Linked DNA regions of Notamacropus eugenii. The protein of the gene in region 2 interacts with the protein of the main gene of each other region in a biochemical or structural test. Links are inferred from orthologs where the notes say so. Each region holds a gene or a part of one and is shown on either strand. Other genes may lie near its edges.

The links.
Region 1: the proteins of JAG1 (region 2) and NOTCH2 form a complex in vitro, tested with the Homo sapiens proteins (2 studies listed by BioGRID). The link is inferred for Notamacropus eugenii from reciprocal best matches to the Homo sapiens genes JAG1 and NOTCH2.
Region 3: the proteins of JAG1 (region 2) and NOTCH1 form a complex in vitro, tested with the Homo sapiens proteins (3 studies listed by BioGRID and IntAct, with this or other methods). The link is inferred for Notamacropus eugenii from reciprocal best matches to the Homo sapiens genes JAG1 and NOTCH1.

Annotation. Positions count from the first base shown.
Region 1 is NC_092873.1:300,122,234-300,130,284, forward strand, and holds the start of NOTCH2 (neurogenic locus notch homolog protein 2), read right to left. Parts: upstream 3,027-8,051; 5' UTR 2,774-3,026; coding exon 2,701-2,773; intron 1-2,700. UniProt on the Homo sapiens protein: Functions as a receptor for membrane-bound ligands Jagged-1 (JAG1), Jagged-2 (JAG2) and Delta-1 (DLL1) to regulate cell-fate determination.
Region 2 is NC_092872.1:584,019,382-584,026,654, forward strand, and holds the start of JAG1 (protein jagged-1), read right to left. Parts: upstream 3,059-7,273; 5' UTR 2,572-3,058; coding exon 2,494-2,571; intron 1,720-2,493; coding exon 1,414-1,719; intron 210-1,413; exon of another isoform or gene 150-209; coding exon of another isoform or gene 60-149; intron 1-59. UniProt on the Homo sapiens protein: Ligand for multiple Notch receptors and involved in the mediation of Notch signaling. May be involved in cell-fate decisions during hematopoiesis. Seems to be involved in early and late stages of mammalian cardiovascular development.
Region 3 is NC_092872.1:489,518,524-489,526,059, reverse strand, and holds the start of NOTCH1 (neurogenic locus notch homolog protein 1), read right to left. Parts: upstream 3,089-7,536; 5' UTR 2,817-3,088; coding exon 2,759-2,816; intron 1-2,758. UniProt on the Homo sapiens protein: Functions as a receptor for membrane-bound ligands Jagged-1 (JAG1), Jagged-2 (JAG2) and Delta-1 (DLL1) to regulate cell-fate determination.

The DNA.
Region 1 (8,051 bases), on a different chromosome or scaffold from region 2:
AGTTGGAGAGCACAGAGACAAAGCAGGGAGAGGACAAAGGTCACCTCCTGAATCGAGCACTCAGTCAGTCAACAAACATTTATTAAATGCTTCCATTCACTGTGCTAAGCACTAGGGATACAAAGAAAGGCAAAAGACAGACCCTGCACTCAAAGAGATCAGTCTAATGAAGGAGACAATATACAGGCAATATACAGAATAAATTGGAAACAATCAACCTAGGGAGGGCAGTACAGTGGGTTAAAATTAATGCCACTTCTTGAGAAAAGTCAGTCAAGAATGTCTCCCTGTACCCTACCTTCCTACCTCGAATGTCATAAAAAAGAGAAAGGAGAGCAGTGCAAAGGAAAAAAAAAGAGGCAAAAAATTATGCTCTTTTGTTTTATTGTGCCTTTTGTCATAGTATTCAAATAAATTGACAAGAGTATGACATTTTCAAAAGATATTTGTAAGACAAAAGTCAAGGAGGGGATTCTATAGAAATTCACCAGATCAAGGTGAATTATCAAATTGGTAGCAAGATCTGAAAAGTACCTACCAACTGCAGGGAAAGGAGATCCTGGGATATAGGTGTGGTCACAGACGGCTGTTCGCAGAACCAGAAGAATAGGGCTGACAGATCTCGGCTGGAGAACTCAATGATGTGTAAATTACATCCTGGCCACAAGCCCAATACAAGAGATTCAAAGGGTCAGAAGGCGTGTTCTAATTGGTACCTTGGGAGAACCCAAGTGATAAAAGATGGAGATTTTCAGAAAAGAGTTCACAGTTATTAATTTGGTGTAATTCAGGATAGTCACTAAAAAGTAGGGTTTACCCTCCCTTGGGCAGTCAAGTATACAGCATAGAAAACTGAGGATTCTATTTACTAGTTTAACGCTCAGATTCTCCACTTGTAAGACAGGGATGCCAATACCTGCCACCTGCACAGCTAGGGAGACACAAATCAGTGTTGGAGGATCCTTAAACGAGAAACGTCCCCTCTTCACAGAAAGGAATTCTATTTTCTTCTTATTTTGCACAATTTTGTACTGTGTCTTTTAATCTCATCTATTAGTTCTGCCCCAATGAGTCTGGAAAGTTTTATTTATTTCCCATCTTTTTTTTTTTAAACAACAAGGAAACTGAGGGTCAGAGAGATTAGTTAACTTGCCAAAACAAACTAAGAGAATGAGTGAGGATTACAACTCCCTAGACTCAAGCGTCCATCTGATCTTACTAATTTTGCCACCTCCACCCACCCCAATCACACATTACATCATTTCTTTCATTTTAAGGAGAAGAAAGGGGCTTAGACAACTTGAAATGTTTCTCCATGCTTTTCACTGACGCTACTACATCAGAAAGTATAATCACGGTTCTTTCTACACATATCTTTGGTTCACCTCTGATATCCTTGGGCAGGTGCATTTGCACCAGAAAATGCCTACGTCTACGTTTTCAGGTGGAAGGATACCTCTACTCTCTTAAAAAAAAAAACAAAAAAACAAAAAAAAAACCTAGTGTGCATTTTTTAACATCTCCTGGTATTCAAAATTGAGAATAGACAAAAATCACCTCAAAGCTGAATACCTTTACTTTAAAAGTAAGAACAGTTCTCGTTTGTGGTTTTAGTAAAATTCTTCCTGGAAAAGACAGTTTCATTATTTAGATTCCTTCCCCCCCCCCCCCCCACTTTTTTTTTCTTTAGCAAAATGACCTTCAAATGCGTTCAGAGACAGGTTTTTATAACTCTTAGAAGACATCCTAATTAAGGCACTTTGAGAATAAGTGTTACCCCTCCCACTCAACCCACTCTCTACAGGGGGCGGGTGAGATCACTGAAGAGAAGCCCAATACTGCCTCCAAGTTGAAGTAGACGGTCAATGTCACATAGCAGTTCTTACAAGTTGCACCCCCGCCCGCGCCCGCCCCCGCCCCCGCCGGGTTCCCAAAGATAAATGCGGGGATCTGTGTCTTTGAGGGAATGACAGCCATCGAAATTTTAATTGCTTTAGTAGGCAGCCACATGAGTTTTTTCCCTCTTCTGCCACAATGCAGGCAATGCCCACGAGACTCCCGAGATACCCAGGCAGAAGGGAGACTGTCAGAAATCCAAGGCGGGCTGCCCAGCACACAGTCAGGGCTTAATAAACTTCTGTCCGACTGGGCTGGGCTCGGTGGACCCTGCCCCTTCACCCAGAGCCCAGGCTGGGGCTCTGATCTAACATTCCCGGACAGGGAAGGTAAGATCGGCTCGGTCCGAGGGCGACCTCCCCCCACGAGGGCGTCTGGCATTCCAGGAGCCAGAAGCGCTAGGGGCGTGCGGCTCGCAGCCTGCTGAACTGTAACCCTTTGTTAGGCTAGGCAGGGCCCGAGGTCAGCTCGGCTCTCGCCCAGTCCTCGGCGGCCGAGCCTCCAGCGGCCCCCTCCCACCCCTGCTCGGGCCGGGGAAGAGGAGGGGGCGTGCGGCTCCCCTCCCCCGCCCATCTCTGAGGAGAAGGAACTGAAGACGTCCGGAGCTTTCCTTAATCAAAGTGCTTCACTCCCAGGGAAAGCTGCAGAGAGTCCGGCAAGCCCAGAGCCCCCCACCTTTCCCCGTGCCCCGGCGCGGAAGGCGGAGAGTAACTGCGGGTGGCCCGGGAAGGGAAAGGAAAAGGGTGGACCCCGGAGTGACCGGGGGGCGGAGAGAGCCCACTTCGGCCACCTGGAGATACTCACCTAGGGTGGGCGCGCCCTGGCACAGCCAGAGAACTAGCAGCAGGCAGAGCGGGGCAGGACTCAGGGCGGGCATCTTCTCGGTCAACTCCTCCTCCTCCACCCAAGCGGATCCACATGGGGCGGGGGGGTCCCTGCTGGGGAGCCCCCCCACTGTCTAGCTTCAGCCGCGGCGCTAGGACCTTAGTGCGGGGGCCCCAGATCGCCCCGCGCCCCGGGATTCGCGCAGCACCAGCTCCAGCTCCAGACACCGCCGCCTCCCGGAGTTTGGCAGAAAGTTTCTGCTTCTCTCAGCCTCGTGTGTCCTTCCGCCTCGGCCCTCCTCCCCCTGGGGAAAGCCCCGCCCTCCTACTCCCCGGCTCTCCTCCCCGGCTCTCCTCCTCCTCTTCCTCCTTCTCCTCCTCGCCTCCCCAGCAGCAGCAGCCGCCGCCTTCCGTACCCCGGGGTTTCCCGCACGAAAAAGTTCCGGCACGATTTCCCCGCGGAGGGATCTACTACGATTCCCTCCCGCTCCCCCCCCCCACCCCCCATTCCTTCTAGTCGCGGGTCGGGGCCGGAGACTCTGGTTTAACCCTGTCGATGCTGGAGATCTCGCCAGCGTGGGCAGGAGCGCGTGCTGATGGAGAAGAGGTCGGGGAGCCCGAGCCTAGAGCATTGGGCTCTACAGGGAGGTCCGGTGTGATGGGAAGAAATTTGGGTTAGAATCAGAAGACCTAGGCCCTCTCACTGGGTGACCTTGGGAAGGTCCTAGCACCTTCGATTTACAGCTGGAAGAGACGGGAGCAGCCTCTACCTTCACCTTTATGATGGAGAAGAATGATGACATGACTTGCACTTGACTTTGATTTGAGTGAGGGAGGGCTGTGCAAGGTCACTAGCCTCACTTTCTCCTTCTGAGACGTCTGGTTCCAGTGACCAGATATTCATCAGGGCGATGGCCCAGGATGCAATGGGAGACCTTGGCCTTTTTAGGCCTTTACCTTTAGGCTACACTGCAGTGGACAGAGCTGGATTGGGGTTCAAATCCCCACTATTCTGATCATTACTTGGGCAACTCTGGGCAAGTCATTTAATCTTTCTTGGCCTCAGTTTCCTCATGTGTAAAAAAGAAAATAGGTACTCCACTTTTACTTGTGTGACTATGGCCATGTCATTTATGAGCCTCTATTAGCCTCAGGTTGAGTCTGAGTCATTGTTGTTTGAGTCATTTTCAGTCATGTCCGACTCTTTCTGACCCCATTTAGGGTTTTCTTGGCAAAGATAATGGAATGGTTTGGCACTTCCTTCTTCAGCTCATTTCATAGATGAGGAAACTGAGGCAAATGGGGTAATTGACTTGCCTAGGGTCACACAACTAGTAAGTATTGGATTTGAACTCAGGTCTTCCCACCTATAAGCCCTGAGCTATTATCCACTGCACCACCTAGCTGCCTGGATCTCAGTTTCCTCATCTATAAAAGGAGGGAGTTGGAACTTTAAGATCTTTCCTAGGTTAAATCCCTATTATATATATATGTATACATATATATGTGTGTATATATATATGTATATGTATACATAATGCTGCCCTTCTACCCAAAGGTTATACATCAGTGTCATGAAGGAGGACCATGGTTAAGGAGAAATTTGGGGAACAGGAAGCAGAACAGGGTAGAGGCAGCTTACCATTCTTTAAACAAATATTTATTGAGTTTTTCAACTCAGAGGGTTGTTATACTTCTAAGCCCCTACCAGAGGTGAGCTGGTAAATGTTTAACAAACTGCTCTCCAAAAATTTTTTTAAAGTACATACCCATGACACACTTTTAAATTTAATCTGCATTATTAACATTTTCTCCATCACTTTCTAAAGTCTAGATGATCAACAAAATAATAAATCAAGTCCTGATTGTTTTGCTGATTTCTGAGGTACAAATATCCAAGCTCTAGCACATCCTTGTCACCATATAACCTACTTACAGTCTAGTTGCCAACACTGACACTCACCGAAAAGTCAAGTAACAATACAAGACGTGATAAGTGCAAGATGATAGGAGCAGAGGTGCCCAGAGAAGGGAGAATCACTGTGGGCTGAGTCAATAACATAAACTGCAAGTAGGACTTGATGTGGTCCTTGAAAATGGGAAGTATCTGAAGAAGAAAACAGGTATTCTAGATAGGGGACACGCAAACAAACATGCAAAGAAAGGAAGCAGAATGCTTGTGCCTAGAAAAGTGGTAAGAATGAGCCTGGAAAGAGATAGGAGTCAGATGATGAAATGCCAGTTTAAAATTTAGCTTGTTAACAATGGGAGGCCACTGAAGGATTTTGAGCCCAAAAGTGGCACAAAACTACAGAAGAGTAGATAATAATCTTACTGAAGAGAAAACTGAGTCATAAAGTGGTTAAATGATTTGTCCTTCTATGACATCACTAGTACATGGAAAAACAGACACATTTCAATTCATCAAATTTCAATTCATCAAATACCCCTACTATGTTCAGAGCACTGTGCTAGGTACTGGTAGAGAAACATTTTTTTAACTACAATATGGAATGGCCTAGTGGGGAAATAGGAAATACAACTTGCTATAATATAAAAATTATAGCTCACATTTATATATTAATTTACAATTTAGAGTGCTTTGCCCCCACAAAAATCCCTTTTCTTCTTTTTTTTAAACTGGGTATATGTGTATCTGGACTTATTATTTCATTGGAGAACTCCAGATGTGGGAACTATACATTCAAAATTATGGAGCAGTTCTCGCAACTGGTCTGTATAATTTGTAACTTTAGAGACTTGCTTGGGGTTTGAAGAAATTAAGCGGCTTGCCCATAATCACACAGCTAGTCTGTGTCAGAATTAAGGCTTGAACCCAGATCTTCCCAATTCTAAAACTAGCCTCTAACCACTATACCCAGCCACAAATACCATTGGCCCATTTTGCAGATTAGGAAACTAAGAATTGGGGGAGGGAGGGATATGATTTACCATGGTCACAAAGCTGGTGAGTGGCATGGCTAAGACTTGAATCCAGGTCTAGCAGCCAAAAAGAGCTAATAAAATCCTGAAGTACATCAGGAGAATCATAATTACTAGCAGCTGGGAACTGATAGGCCTGTTGTATTCTGCCATAATCAGGCCTCATCTGGAGACATATTCTGTCAATGGTTGACATTGATAACATTGGTAAAAAATTACCAAAGAAGGGCAACCAGCATGGTGGAAGGTCTTGAGTCTGGGTTATATGAGTTTTCATTGATGGTATTGGGCATGCAGAGTATGCAGAAAAGATGAATCAAGGTGAATAGAACATCTTCACATACTCAAAGGTTTTCATTTGGAGGAGGGATTCTATTTGTTCTGTTTGGTCTTAGAGGGTAGAACCAAATCCAATGGGTAGAAGTAAAAAAAGGTAAACTTGGGCTTGATGTCAGGAAAAAAGAGCTATTCAAAAGTAGAATGGGATGCCTTAAGAGAGAATGGGTTCCTCTTACCTGGAGGTCCTTAAGCAGAGGCTAAATAACTGCAAGTTGGGTATTTTGTAGTGTGGCTTCTTTTCATGGCCAGGTTGAACTTTCTAGTTATGCCACTGAGTTCTTCTCCAAGTCTTACATTCCATGATTTTGTCCTTTGACTCCAGATCAGTATTCCTTCCACTACCATGATACCTCACAGTGCATTATCTGGAAAGTGAGGTCAACCAGCTGGTGGTGTGTAGAACAGATTGGAGTAGGTAGAGACTGAAGACAAGGGAATATTTACCATAATCTTCATGTGAGATAATGAGTCCCTTAAAGGAGGATAATAGAAAGGAGCAGATGGATGTGAGAGACACTGCAGTTGGTAATTGGGGGGACACACACTTGCCAATGTCTTAGTCTCGTTAATTTGCATTAAGTGTTGGTAAAAATTGTCCATATGTCATTAATGTCATTACAATCCATGAGTTTTAGCAGCTTTATATGGTTAGGACCAAAGTTTTATAAATTCACCTATGGGAGATTTGGTTCTAGAAAACGGATTCACTCCAGCCTATCTCCCTGAAGAGTCAATGATCAAACCAGAATGACAATTTACTAATTTTATGCTGAAAAAGAGAATTAGAAATTAGACTAAAATATTTAATGTTGAGAGGAGAGCACATGTACTTCCTGGTAGGAAAGTCTCCTTAGGAGTAGGGTCAGAAAGTTGCTTAGTAGGCCCAGGATTCATAAAGCTCCACAGCCAGAATATGATGCATAGCCACATTCATTATATTTTAGTTTGGTAAAATCTGAGAAGACATCTACCCTTGCTGAGAATTCCAGGACAAAATTTGAGAAGCCATGCCTTATTAATCATCACAGAGGGTAGCATCTTTTTTTTTTTACCTTGTTCCTATATTTGAGGGTTAGACCCTGTTTGATACTTTGTACTGATTATAGCTACATGAAATTCTTTTGATGTGTATAAGTAAATTGGTCTTGTTTGGGAAATCATTCATAAATATGCATTTTTATGCATACATATCATATATATGTAATGTGTACATGTATATATATATTATCAGAAGTATGATCTGTGAGTATAATTAGACCTCATCCTATCACCAACAAAAATTAGCACATGAGAAGATACCATCAAGGATGTGTGAAAGGGAAAAAGGAAGTATGTGGCTCATGTGTTGAGCGTGAGTTAACAGCTGGGCAGTCCATATATTGTCCTGGTATCCACAAACTATTGAGAGAATCAGAGGAAGGACTCTAGGATGTTGGATGGGTTCTCAACAGAGGATTTACAGGAAGAAATAGGAAAGAATCATAGAATACGAGAAATCCTGAAGTGCCATGAGATCCATCCAGTGAAGAGATCCGTCAAAGTGCTGAACATAATATTATGTAATCTCATAGATAATATAATCTTATAGATTATATTATATAAATCCTTAAGACTACCTAATTATCTATAATGGAACAGCTGGTGAATTCAGAAATCTTGTACTTCTCTTTACTGTGTACTTTTAAAACTAATTATTGTTAGTTTAAGCAACACTTGTGTGCTTCAATTAATAGTAAAAGCAAAAAACATGACTAATCTGAAAATAAGTTTTGAATGACATCACATCTAATGGGCATCCTACTGCTGCCTTCTCAATGGGTGAGGGAGGGGCTGGAAGGTGGGAGAGAATTTGGAATGTTAGTTAGAATAAAAGTTAGAAAATGAATAAACATTTAAAAAATTAGTATTAGCAAAAAAACTTGCTCATTACCATCAAATTGAGTTCAGAAAATGATTTAATGGGAGAACTGTTGTTCTGGGAGTCAGCCAAAGGACACCACCTTCTAATCCACTCCAAGTTCCTTGCACCTGGTTAGGTCCTCCTTCCCT
Region 2 (7,273 bases):
GGCCAGTCCCAGCCCCTGAGACCCCCTCCCCCCCAGCTTTAAAACCCAAAGTTCCCCACCTCACCGCAGCTTCTAGAGATTTCGGCGTGCCCCTGATAGAGGGTGTAGCGATAATTTTGTCCAAGCCTTCCTTTTGAAGGAGAGACCATTTCGAGTACATCCTTTTGGGAGAAGGGAGGCAACTGCCAAGGCCTGTCGCTTTACCGTGCACGTTTGCACTGGATGGCAGAAAAGAGAAGGACCCACCTCCCTCCCCCCAAAAGTGGGCAGTAAGGAAGTCCCTCGGGGGGCCTTTACTTTAAAGAGAGAGAAAACGCAAGCCCCTCCCTGTCCGCCATAAAAAGAATAAAACTGTTAGGAAGGCAGACCCTTCCCGGACCGGGCCACTTCCCTGGGAGCCGGTCTCCCGAGGATGGCAGAAGGGGGAGGCTCTCGCGGTTCCTCGCAGTGCCTCCCAGAGCACATGGTTCCGGGCTCCACCTCCTCCCTTCTCTGCGGTCTGCACTTAGCAGGGAAGTTTGCAAAACACAGCTGTTCCAAGGAGCCAGAGAACCGCGGAAAACGAAGCCGCACCGCGGAGAGAGGGGAGCAGGGGGCTCGGGGCGAGGGCGGGAAAGGAGCGTCCTTCCTGCCCCTTCCCCAAGCGAACACAAAGCCCGGGGGTCTCCTGGCCCTGCCGCGGTAAAGGGCTGGACGGGGGGCTGCAGAGGAGCTCAGAACCGGGGACGACGAGCCCCGAGCCCCAGGCCGAGAGCTGACAACCCGGTCCTGGCAGGAAAGGCAGGCTCCCTCTCTTCTCCCCTCGCCTACTACCCGCTTCTCCTCCAGTAAGGACACACCCCACCCGCTCACGGAAAGGGGAGGGTGCCCCTTTGGATCGCGCTCCCAGGCCATCACTGCATTCTCCCTTCTCTGGTGCACCAGATTTCAATGGTTAAAAACCCCCGCACTTTGCTGATGAACTCTTGACCTCTCATTTCCTCCGGGGCGGGGGCGAGGGAGGGGAGAGGGAAAGCAGGCATAGCGCGGGACCCAGACCTCATTCCAGCAGACTCTTAAGTGCACAACGTTTTGCACAACTGATGCAGATTTTTCATCTTGCTCAAAGACCCCCGTGCAAACCAGCTAAGTCTTCCCAACTTTGCACGCTCAGGAAGCACGCAAGGCAGTTGCACGGTTATAAATCTCCCTTTCCAACCCCTAGCCGACAGCCCCCTCGGCTCGCCGCCTAGCTCTGCAGGGACTTGGAGCTTTCCATAACTCCCGTGGGGATTTCCGCGAGTCGTTCAGCAAAGATTTCACCACCCTCACTTCCCCACGGGGAGCTGAAAGAGAACACACGCTCAGGGATAGAGACCTTTAAATGCCGCTCGCTAGGGAAACGCAAACAGCAAGAAAGAACTTGGGACTCACCGGCCAGGCGAAACTGAAAGGGAGAACAATCCGGTATCTTTCGCTATTCCGATTCGATTTCAGATTAAAAGTATTCCCTCCGATGACAGGCGTAGATCCCGATCCGAAGCTGCAAGGCCCCCCTGCTGTGACCCGGGACTGATACTCCTTCAGGCAAACTTTAAAGTAAGTAGCACACTCGTCTCTGGTGCATTTTCTATCCTCTGGATTTCGGGAGCCATGGCAGCAATTCCCATTCTGCAATTCCCCATTCAGGTTTTGCATAGATAAGATCTCCAATTCGAACTGTCCCGAGGCCGAGGACACCTGTTAAGTAGCCCCCCAGAGAAAGAGTTCTGAAAAAGTTATCTTGGGCTATTTTTTTTTAATGCGGGGGAGGGGGGAGTGGAGGAAGAGAAGGAAGAAATGGAAATCCCATCCCATGGACAAGACGTGCAACAGCAAAGTTCATAGTGACAACTGTGAAAATACGTTTCCCACTTTTTTTTAAGGATTAAGAAATTGAATACTCTATGAAAAAAAAACACACCACCACACACACATACAACTAAGAAATGAAATTAAAGTGATTGTTTTCCCCAGCCTGGAGACGAGGGGAAAAAGGAGAAGGGCAGGGATTTGTTAGTGCTAGATAAACGTCAAACCAAGAAGGCTGAGAAAGAGAATCTCGACTCCGAGGGAAGGGCAGAGCTGCGGGGCTGCAGGACTCGACTGGGATAAAAGCAAGTTAAGCCCCGCAGTGCACGGGAACCACGTCTGTAGTAAAAGAAACCACCCAAAGGGGAGAAGAGTTTCAATATCTAGGTACGGTATATGTATGTACGTATGCTAAAAAACCACAAAAGGAGCGTATAGTCCTGAAAGGCGAGAAGCAGGCGAGGCGAAGACGGGGAGGCACTGGCAGCAATCCTCCAAGTCCAAGGTGCAAACAGCTTTATTACCCACTCTGGAGAAAGTGACTAACGGGGGGCAGGAGGGGGAAGGGAAGAAGGCGAGGGAGAAAGGAAAGGCCCCCGCACACACACACGGGCACACGCAGCTCCTCCCGTCCCAGCGCAGGACAGCGGCCGTGCAACGTACCTTCACTCGCAAGCATAGCAGCGCGATGATCAGACCTAAAGAGCACTCAGTCCGGACGGGGGCCCGTGGTAAAAGCATCGCCTCGTCCTGGAGCCTCGGCTGCCGGTCGCGGAGACACTGAACGCTGCTGCTGGGGCCGCCGCGTCCCGGCTAATATACTCCACCGATGGGAGCATGCACGGCTGGAAAACAACACCACTTTTCAAAAGCCTTTTCAATAGCGTCCCGGTCCTGAATGCAAAAGAGCCCAGCCTCCTTTTATTATTCTGATTTCTTCGCTTTTTTTTTCTTGCTCTCTCCCCCCTCCTCCTCCTCCTCTTCCTCCTCTCTGGCTGCTCTCTTTTATTATTATGATTATTCGCAGCCTTTTATTCCCTTTCAGATCGGCTGCAGGGAAAAGGGGGGAGGGAGGGAGGGAAGGAAGGGAAAAAAAAAGCCACCGCTTCCTCACAGGTAACACAATAACACGCGCCCGCACCGCGCTCGCCCTCCAGCCTGGCTCACACAGAGAAGAACCCTGAGAGCCCGTCTGGGAGACGGCTTCTAACTCTATCCGACCGCAGCAGGAAGGCGCATGCGCTCCTTATTACTATTCATGAGGGGGCGTGTCCCTCCGGAGACCTCCCGGGCACGCCCACTCCCCCTCCTCCCTTTCTCCCAGGCTGGGAAGGAAGGAGGGGCGGCAGCCGCCGCCGCAACCTCCCTCTGTAGGGGCAAGAGGGGAGGAAAAGAGCCTGGAGAGGGGCGGGTGGGTCGAGACACACCAAAATGGGGCGAGAACACGCAAACGGGAGAAACTGGGTGGAAAAGACGGAGAGGGGTTACTGCTGGCATTGGGGTTGGTGGACTAATTAGGAATGTGTGTAGATACGCGTCTATGTGGATGCCTTCGTTCCTCCCCTTAGCCTTGGCAAGCGCTGCCCTTAGGATCCGCGTGGTGGAGGAGGCGTGACATGTGATCCCACGCGTGGGCTAGAGCTTGGAACGCGCTTCCGGGGGCGGGCGAAGTGGGCCGAGGTGGGGGGCACGTGGCGCCTCAGGTGTGTAAAGCAGGCGGAGAAGCGGGGGGCCGGCTCCCTGTGTGTCCGGAGCCCGGGCGCTGGCTGGGCCCGCGCTTCGGCTTTCCGCCGTGCCGACGCCGGGCTGGTGGGAAGAGCGTGTGGGTCGGGCCCGGCTTCACGCAGCCGGAGCTGGAAAGCTTCCTTCTTCTCTCCCCTCCCTCCCCCTTCGTGCGTCAATTGCGGCTTCTCCCCGGGAGGAGGAGGAGAAGAAGGAGGGAGCTTCCACTCGGAGCGAGCCGCGCACCCCGAGCTCGGCGGGACGGCGCGGGCTGCCCGCGATCCGCCGGGGGGCTGGGGCGGCCGGCCGAGACCACCCGGGCAGCCCCCTTTGCCTGGAATTTCGAAAAAAACGTTCCCCGAGTGTCTGCGATTTCGGGGTCTGCCTTCCTCCGCCGTGGGATCGGAGGTGGCAGAGCCTCTGGCTCGGCAGTCCCTCCCGAGCCGCCCGGCGGCGGCGGCAGCGCCAGGGGGGAGCGGCGGGGCGGGGGAGACCCGCGAGGGGCCAGGGCCTCCCCTCCCCCTCCGCTGCGCTCGTGGGGGCGGGCGGGTAGACTATTCTTAGACGCCGCTTCCCGGGCTTCCCCGCCCGCAGCCGGGCGGGCCGCCTCCCTTCGGCAGTGCGGGGATTGCACCTGCAGGCGGCCTCCGAACTGTTCCGGAGGGGCCGCTCCTGCAAGCCCTCGGGGAAGGCTCGGGCCCGCCCCCCGCAGCTAGGGTGGCGCTGGCCCCGGGCTCGCCGGGGTGCGCGCTCCGGGGGAGGGCTTTTATCTCTTACTCACTCTCCCTCACACGGCCAGGGGCCGCAGTGTAGTCTCCTCCAGCGCTGTCTGCCTCTCAGTTCTCTGCGCAAGTAGGGGAGCGGGCTTTCCTTCCCCGTGGCTGGGGATTTTACACAATCATTCTTTTCCTTTTACATTTTCGAGGAGCTCTGCCGGGGGGCGAGTCCTGGATCATTCCCTGCAAGAGCAGGACGTTTAGGGTTCGGGCCATTTGGGAGGGGAGGGGGGGGTGATCAAAAGTGACATCTTCAGATCCAATTCTCCGCTGCCTGCTCGGCACAACTTCGGTGTTGCTGACTTAGGTCCAGGAGCTTTGGGGGCACAAAGAGGAACCCCCAGACGTGCAGAAGGGATCGTCTGTTGTATGACAGGGGGGTCACGCAGTTAATTTTTGTGTAAAGCTGCAAGCATCCCCAAAGAGCATTCAGTGCCGTCCCACTCATAGCTAGGGTGAGCTACCTGGCCAGCCATCCCCTTCCGTGATCCCAGGAGACAGAGAGGCAGGTGAAGAGTTCTGGGGACTTGGAACTTCAGAAAAACAGCCATTAGGGAAGAATCAATAACTAGCGTTTCTTGGCACTTTGATGTTTTCTGGGGTCTTTTATACATTATCCCAAAGTGTATTCGTTCTCTGTCTCTCTCCCTCCTCCCGCCCCATACACGCATCCTGTTCTATTATGTTGGGTATTGGAAAGAAAATTAGACCTTAACTTTAGAGAGGACAACTAAATATGGATGAATTGGAAATCAATTAACAGTACCTCCTAATTGGCTTTGAAAGTTTTGCTGAGAAACTTCCACAGTTCTCCTGGGAGAGAGAGAGGACTTCTTCCAGACTTGAGTAACTGCCCCTTGTCTTCCCAGACTGTTTCCAGGCAGGTTAGCATTGGAGAGTTAAGTGTTTCTTAGGAGAACTCACTTATTCTCAGTGTTTCTCAGAACCGAGGCATGGCCACCATGAGCAGTTTAGAAGCTACTTTTATCCTCAGTTGCTATGTGTCCACTTGTATTCCATGATCTCGTTTACAGGTATTCTTACTAATGTTCACATAGACATCAACCATGCTCCCCTTCCCTCCTCCTCCCCTTTCAATGTTGGGGTAAATACACTGGATTTTTTCATTCATACATTTGTGTTTGGATATAATAGATACTTCCTAATAAACAACAGAACATCCACTTCCCCTGTGGGGGGGGTGGGGGTGGGGGTGCATATGTGTGTGTGTGTGTGTGTGTGTGTGTGTGTGTTACCTTTGGGAAAAGAGCAAGACTTTTTTTTTCCATCGTGACTTTTCAACAAGGGTTAAAGTGATCTCTTTGTGTCGCTATTAAGACACATGTGCAATTGAGATTCCACACACACCCCAGATTCAAATTTCATGCCCTCTAGCATGTCAGAATGCCCTGCCTGGGCCTGTCACCTTACACACCTCAGGGTGGTACCCACAGAGTTGGCCTTTTAGCTGAATATCCAACATCTCACTGGCTGGAAGAAAGTTGCCCATGCATGGCTGGCAGGGGCTCCCTCTGGCAGGTATTACTACAAGCCCCAACTGGTTTCTCATCATTGAGTTTAGTTCTTCTGACCAGTACTATGACAGAACATCCGCTTCTGGAAGGGTTGAAACTACTCAATGGAAGCAAACCAAGTTGGGTGCTAGGATGTCAAAGGTAAAACTCAGAATCCTTAAGATGCCCTCAGATTTCCAAATGATACCATGTTCCTCCCAGGCAGTATTCCCAGAGCCCAAGAAGGAAAGGGATCCCTGGAAAGGGAAAGGGATAGAAAGGGCATTCATAGAAATTTAAACTGGTACTCCCAGAAGAAGGCATTCATTTTTTCTTTTTTTACCATGACAGGTCATGAACAGAAAATTATTTACAGTTTCTCAAGAACTTTGTTTCCCTCCCTCCTACCTTGAACAGAGGTAAATTCTGTTCCTCCAGGACTAAAGAATGAGGAACCACTGACTTGTGAGAACTTATTCCTTATAGTCCCCCTTTGTTTCTCTATTACTCTGTCCTGAGAGTACTGGAGGAAGGAGGGGAGGGAGTAGGATCTATCAAGGCCACATGTGACCTTCTAGGTCCTTGGGTGCAGACTTTTAACTGAGTCCAAGTTTTATTAAGGGGATTTGTTCTCTGAAGTTTGGATCCTATCAAAGAGTCCAACTTGAGGACCTAGAGTGCTACTTGTGGCCTTGGGGCCACAGGTTCCCCACCCCTGGTCTGTCTCTTCTATCACTATTCTCTCTATGCTGCTTGCTTGCTTCAGGTGTTAGTGTGTCCTGTACCCACTGGTGGTCTCCCTTCAGAGAATAAAGTTTTTAAATGCACAAAATACAAATGATCACAAAAGAAACCAATTATATTGAAACAATATTGAAACAAAATAAATTATATTTATGTGTGTGTTTATATATGTGTATGCATATAAACATATATATATATACACACATTTAAGTTCACATACCTCAGGAACCTCTTTATATTTAGTTCCTTTATTTTGATAGTAACAGTTCATTTTTTTTTTTTTTTAAGATCTACAAAAAATTTTCCTGACAACCACCCCGAAGCTGAGAGGCAATACAAATAACTATTTTACAGATGGGGAAACAAGCAAAGGTTAAGTGACTTTTTTCCCCCCAGGATCACATGAATAGTAATTGATTAAGAAAGACGAGGTCAGAACAACAGAGGAAATATTTTCATTTTGTTTTAGATATCACCAGAGCTTGAGGAAATCATGGATGTCTTTGCAGAACAATCAGACAGTAGCAGTGAAGGAACCAGAGAGGGAAGACCTGTCAGCTCTTCAGTCCTTCCCATATTTGCCTAAGAAGACATCTTTGGATGGGCAGTTTCAGGTGGTATAACAGGGCAAAGCTCATCATGGGAAAAGTAGAATTTTTGTGTGCAGTTCTACCAACCCATTGTTTC
Region 3 (7,536 bases), about 95 Mb from region 2:
GCTGGAAGAAACCTTAGAGAGTATCTTGTCCAACCCCCTTCTTTATTCTTATTTAACTTCTTAATTTTGTTATCTTCCCCATCCCATTCCATCTAGCATAGTACTATAATCTATTTATACCATCATAAGCACTTAGTAAATATTCATTATTGCTGAACTGTTGAGTCAGTTGTAGAAGAAAAATGTACATTCAGTAAATATTCTACATCTATCATATGTGTGTACATCCACTTCCACATATAAATACAGGTATGTATGTATAGAAACATACACAGGTACCAGATTTCTTAAGGGCAGATAACCCTTCTAATGAATTCTTTTGATTTTCTTAATGAAGTCAACAAGGAGGTAGGAAGGAAGAATGATAGACTGAAAGTTGGGCTGTTTCTATAAAGCCAGCTATCCAAGGTCTATCCCAGCCTACTAGCTCTAAATTGCACAATAACTTGGCAAAGGATGGGAAAAGTTACCCAGAAGCCAATCTGACCAATTCAACTACTCAAAAATTCCACCAGCATGACTTTCCCAAACTTCCCTCGATCTCCCTTCTCGCCCACCCAACCAGAAGCCTATACTTGAGGGGAGATCCACATCTCTTTCAAAGGGGAGGAGGGAAGGGAAAGAGAGGAAAAGGGAGGAGAGAGAAGAGGGAGGAGGGAGTGGGGGGGGGGGAGCTCAGACTACAGTGAGCGCTCAGAAATGCAGTGAATTGTCTGCCTGTTCAAACATTCATGGTAAAGTGACTTATCTAGCCAGTCCTGGAGGGGGAGTCTGAATGGCCCCAAAGCAAGCCGCACACACTCCCCTCCTGGTTCGTGGGAAAATGCGACAGCTGCGGGGCCCAGCTTCCCCTGAACTCCAACAAAGCGGGAATCAGAGCCGCCCATTGTAACTCGTTTAAAGACACCTCTTGTTGCATTATTGACTGTAGGGCTAGGATTGAATATTACCTCCCGGGACACTCAATACCTGCTCCCGGGAAGATCTGAGGTGCACCAATGGGCCCGCCTCCACCTCACCCCCCACCCCTCAAATGCTGGGCCAATTCACAGAATTCCGCGGACACCCCCCTCCACCATCCCGGTTCCATTCCTGGGCAGAGAGAGAAGTGCTTCCCCAACTTAAAGCCCCAATGAGGGGTTCGGGCTATATATATCAAACATGAGAATCTAGTGGGCCCGTCCCCTCTAGCGACCTCCTTTCTTGGAGAGTCAACTGAAATTAAGAGTTTGGGGTGGGCTGGGGGCGGCGGGGAGAGCTGTGCCCAAAGTCTGCGGCCTTTTTTTTTCTTTTAACACTTTTTTCAAAGAGGGGCGAGGAGGGTTAGGCAGTGTTGTTCTTCTTTGCACCGCTCGGGGAGGGGCGCCCACGAAGCGTGGGAAGCAGAGAGGAGGGAGGCAGTGAGTGGAGGACACCCGGCAGAGGGCTGCCTGACTCATCGCTGCTCCGTGGGCTGAGGGGGAGGAGGGAGCCGTATGGGGGGCCCCCTGCAAGTGAACGTTCTCCCAGTCCCGAGAGAGTTGTCATTCCTTAAGGTCAGGAGAAAAGAAAACTCCAAAGTAGAGGGTGAGATCACAGGAGCCAGAGAATGTTCTGTGAAACTTTTTTTTCTTCCCTCCCCCGCCTTTTTTTCCAGGAAGGGTTACAGATGCTTAGAAGTTTTAGGTTTTTGGACCAAAAAGTTACTCATCCCTTAAGCTTCAAGCAACTTTCCCGTAGCCTGCGGGACGGCTCTCCCACCAGAGTGGCCAAGGTCAGCACAACGGCCGGAATGCAGAGCCCTTGCAGCCCCAGGGAGTGGGGCCACATATTCCCCCCCCCCCCCCCGCTACGGCACCGGGGAGCGGGCTTCCGTCGGTTTCCTCGCAAAAACTCAACACTGTTCTGAGCCCGAAAACCCCGCGCCGCTGACATCCGCCCCCAGCCCTCGACCCGAAAGTGGAGTGGGCAGACGGAGAAGAAAAGACCAGAGAGAACAGGAAACCTGACTCAAGTTCGAATAGAAAGAACTCAGCCAGCGGAGAAAAAACCCAAAGCGGGGGGGGGGATGGGGGGATGCAGGTTTGGCCCGGGGCGGGAGCGCGGGGTAGGGGGGGAATGTAGGTTTGGCAGTGCATGGAGAAATGCAGGTTTGACTGCGGGTAGGGGGATGCAGATTTGGAAGGGGGCGGGAGAGAAAGCAGGCGGAGAGTAAGGGTCGTTCAAGAACTTAGCCTCAGCCTCCAAGGCATCTGGAACCCTCCCTATATTTCCATCAGTTTGGACACACAAGCCACACTCCGCACCTTCCCCTCCCGGTGCCACCTCAATCCCCTCCCTAAACAGAGCCCCCAAATTGGGGGAGGGAGTAGTCTTCCCTGCAGCCAAGAGTCTCCCGGAAAGTGGGGAAACTGGGGATGGATGACATCTTGCACATAGCCAGGGGCGCAAAGCTGGGAAAAGGTGACTCCAGGGGGTCCCATCCCGGCCAGGGAGGTACTGACATTCCCACTCACCCACCCACCCGTTTCGCTGCTGCCTGCACCATCACACGATGCCCGTAGTGACCAAGCCAGGTTGCTTTCCCCTCCCCTTGTACAATCCATGCCTGTTCACTCTCTCCCCAATACTGGCTGGATTAGCCGCGTCTCTTTTCCAGGAGGAAAAAAGTTTTCTCCAACGGTGCACAAAGTTTGCGGGCTTGCCCGCCCCGCCAGATTGTTCTCCCACCCCCAGATCTGGGGGTTCCGATCTCCACTGGAGCAGCCCCAAGTCCTACCTCGTGCGAGGACCGGCAGCAGCGACAGACAGACGACGGGCACTAGGAGCGGCCGCATGCCTCCAGCAGCGGCCAGCTCTCCCCCAGCGGCGCTTCGCTCGGGCAATCCCAGAAAGGCTCAGAGTGACATAAGGTCTCCGAACGGGCAGGGAAATCCTAAGCAGCGTCTCTCAGCTAGGGAGCCAATCTCGCCCTCGTCTTCCCTTTCTCGGCAGGCGGACGGGCGCGCACGCACTGCCCGAGTTCCCTCGTTCCCTCGCTTCCTCGCAGACTTCTCCGCGCCGCTCCGGCTCAACCCTACGTAACCTACAGCTGCCAAGACACTAAGTGAAGCTGCGAGCTCCGCGCCTCTCCCACTCCTCCTGCTCCTCCCCCCCACCCCAGCCGTGAACCTCCCTCTTCTCCGAATCCTTCCGCTCCCCCTCCACCCCCTCCCTATGGAGCTTCGCTTCTCTCAGCTCCAGAGCTCCCCGGAGAGACCGCGGGCCGAAGATGCTTTCTGGGGTGTCCAAAGCTCTCTTGAAGAACCCCGAATACTTTTCTGGGGCTGGGAGGGCCTCCCGTGCCAGGGGACTACTTCTCGTTTGAAAGTTTCAGAAACTACTGAAAGTTTGTTGTGAGCTTGCGGAGGGATTCTTGGTTCTTGCATGAAGTTTCTGTTCTTCGCCTAGTCTTTTACGTATTTGCATGTCAATGGAGGAGCCACTGGTTTCGGGGCCGGGGACCAGCAGAGTGGAGCGTAGGGTGTGCTTAGTCCCAGCCACCTTCCCTTCCTAACCTTGTCTCCGGCCTCCCTCTACGGGATGCTCTGTGGGGACTTCATGCAGAGGTAGAGAAGACAGGGAAAGTGGAAGGAACGTTCAGGACGAAGAGCCAGGGATTGTCCCAAAGACTGATCTGAATGCCTTAAAAGGCAGTGAGCTGGGCTAGGGGGACTTGGGTTTGGAGGAGTATTCTCGGGCCCCACCCTCGAGAGCTTTCCTGGAGTGGATGTTGGATTTGGGTAAGACTTGGGGGTGACCTAAATCCCCCTTTCCTAACTTAGGAATTAATCGTGGAGCACAGACAGGTTTGTGCATTCATCCTGATCTCTTTCCCTCCACCCCCTCATTCCCTGTAACTCTGGGCACTTCTAGGAGACCAGACGGGTCCATAGGAAGGTGACTGGGGACTTGAACACATTTGACCATGACGTCTTCGTGCACTTGACTCTCTTAGAGGGGTAGGTTTTCGGGTGCCACGGAGGTCATCTATTCCAACCTCTCGTTGAAAGACATAGAGAGGGTTAAGAGGCTTTGTCCAAATTCACACTGATAGTGTGTATTAGAGGCAGGATTTGAATCCAGGTCCCAAGACTCCAAATCCAACCAATCAGCAAGTATTTATTTAACCACTTACTATATACCAGGAACTATATCACTAGAGATACAAAGACAAAAAACAAACAGTTTTTGCCCTCAAGAAGCTTATTAATTCTGTTGGGGAACTATCTACACATACAAGTAAGCACGAAATCCATACCCTGTAAATAAAAAGTAGATAGGATGGGGGAGAGAAGAGACACTAGGTGTTGGGAAAGATCAGGAAGGGCTGTATATAAAAGAGGGACTTGTCCTAGATTTTGAAGCTGCTAAGGGATACCAAGCTGGGGGGTCTCTACACAGGCAGGAGATGGAATGTTATGTACCAAGAGAAGCAAATAGGCCATTTAACAGGAATGTAGTGTGTATGAAGTGGAATAATGTGCAAGGAGTCTGGAAAGGTTTTTTGGAGTCAGTGTGAAAATCTCTGAATGCCAAAGGAGATGGTATTTTTATCTTAAAAGCAATAAAGAGCCTTTGGAGCTCTTTGAACAGATAAATGACTGAGGCAGATCTTTAGGCCTCAGGTTGTTGTCACAGCTTGGTGGAGGATGTTTTGGAGAGGAGAGGGTCTAGAGGCAGGGAGACCAACTGGGACACCTCTGCATTATCCCATTCTAGAGGGATGAGGTCCTAGGCTAGAGTAGTAGCATGTAGTAGTAGCATCATAGTAGCATCCAGAGCGTAGAGAAGAGGCCAGAAATTTTATGGCTGAAGATCAACAAAACTTGATAACTAATTAGATATGGGTAATCAGGAAGAATGAAAAGTCAGGAATGACTCTAAGATTTCAATTTCAAACTTGAGTTACTGAGAGGGTGATGGTATCCTCAAAGGAAAGAGGAAAATTGGGAAGATGTATGAGTTTGGGGGAAAAGATAATGAATTCTACCTACTTTGGACTTGTTGAGTTGAGCTGCCTATGGGACCTCTCAGTGGAAAAGTCCAACAATCAGTTGATGATGGACCATAGGGAGATCTATAGTTGTAGATCTGGAAATTATCACCAAAAAGATAAGTGGATGGATGAGATTGTGGTAGAGAGAGTAGAGTGTAGAGATCACAGGACAGACTCTTGGGGCATACCCCATTAGAGTATGGGCCATGGATGGTGACCCAGGAGAGCAGTTTCAGGGGTGTGCTCATCCTTGATAAACGAATAGCCAGACAAATAGGTGGAGAATTGGATGACAATACTCAGAGAAGAGAGAGGAGATGGGAGCAGAGAGTTATTAGCAAGTGTCCTATGCTATAGCAAGGTCAAGAAGGATGAGAACTGAGAAAAAGCCATTAGATTTGACTAATTAAGAGATCATTGGTAATTTTGAGGGAGCAGTTTCATTTGAACAATGAGATCAGAAGCCAGATTGCAAGGATTTGAGAAGTGAGAGAAAATGCTGTCAAAGAATATAGTATTTCCACCACCCTCTGTTTCCCCCATCCCCATCCTCAACTCCTGCCTTCTACTCTCTCCAAACTTATGGCCTTGTGAGTCCAACATGAAGTTGGAAGAAAAGGATAGTGAGATTGTATCCATCTAAATAGACCCCATGTCAAAAACCCAACAAAGTTCCAGATGGTGTCTAGGTGTGTGAAAACATACTCAAAAATAAATCCAAGCGTCAAAATCCCTTCTATCTCAAGGTCTGTAGGCCTGCATTTGCTTTGATTCCATTAAACAACCATCTGTTAAACCTACTTTGTACTGTGTTAGGTGCTGGGGGAGATATTTCATTGATTTATACAAAAATTTTAAGCCATTCTCTTCTCTTTTTAATGAACTAGCTGGCTTTATGTGGATGCATTACCTTAGAAAGCAGTAGACCACAACTATCCTTACCAGAGTAGCTAAAACCTTTTCATTTACAAATTGAGCTTCTGAAGACTTTCTCTACCTTATTTACAAACACTTCCCCAAAGTTGGTAACAAATTATGTTCTCAAGCACTTTGTGGAGGGTTCCTAGATACTTGAGTCTGTTTGTTTGAAGAATCTTTTCATCAAAGGAAACCAAAGTCTAACATTAAAGGTTACTTAAGCAGAGAGACGTTAAGTTCAGCAACTTCACAGTTGAGTGGCCGTTTTTCCACCCACTCTGTCCCACAAGATCATAGGATGGATCCCAGAATTTACTTGGCCTGGCTGGAAGTAGACGGTCTATCCCAGTTCACTACTCAGACTATATCAGAACCTCAGAGTTAGAAAAGATTTCAAAGGTCATCTAATTCAATACATTTTCAAAAGTGTTTCAAATGTTTTAATCATTTTTATTGACTTGACATCTATCTCCTTGATTAGTTTTATATACAAAGAATAGAAAAAGAATTGCATATGAATCTCAATTACTGAAATCATGGTTATTATCTTTATAAATCTATAATAAATCTACATGGTAATTCCAATACATTCTTGTTCACCTGTGTCTCTTTCTGAATTTCCTTCTGATCTCTTCTGTGTATTTAATAAAGAAATGTTTCATTAACAATCTTTTTTCTTCTTATTTTGGCATCACTATTACTGCTCCCTTCATGATTTCTCCCCCATCCTCCAAAGATTTTTTTTCCTTGCAACAGATAAGTATAGTCAAGCAGAACAGATCTATACAATGGCCATGTCAGAAAATGTATGTCACATTCTGAACCTTTAGACCTCTCTGTCAAAATTAGGGAGTTAAGATTCATCACGAATCTTCTGGAATGATGGTGGTTCTCTATTTGATCAAAATACTTAATCAAGTCCTCCAAAGTTGCTTTTCTGTACAGTGTTATAGCTATTAAATAAATTGTTTCCCTGATTCTACTTAATTCGCTCTATATACAATCATATATACAAGTCTGTGAATCCATCCCTTTCATAGACCACAAATTACTTACTCATCCATTTTCCAATGGATAAGTACTCCCCTTATTTCTAATTCTTTAATATGAGAAAAAGTGCTCCTTTAAATGTTTTTGTACAAATTAATCCTTTTTTCTCTTTCCTTCATCTCTGGGTTTTAACCCAATAGCAATATCAGTTGGTGAAAGGATATGAAAAGGTTAGCAATTTTTGGGGAGTATGGTCCCAAATTGCTTTCTAGAATGGTACCAACTCACACTTCTCCCAACAGTACATACAAAAGAGTTGCCTTTTTTCCTGCAGCTACTCCAACAATTGTCATTTTCCATTCTTTTGTTCATCTTTGCCAAAATGATGGCTGTAAGATGGAAAGCCAGGGCTGTTTTCATTAATGCAACCTATTTCTAAAGAAGATCCTCTCTACAATATCCCTTAAAAGTGAACAAGTGATCTAGCCTTTACTTGAAGATCTCCAACAGACTCACAGCCTCCCTGAGGCAGTCTGTTCCACTTTTAGATAGCCCCAGTTGTTAGAAGGGTTAATTTTGTTTTGTTTTTCTTCACACAAAGTCAAAATCTG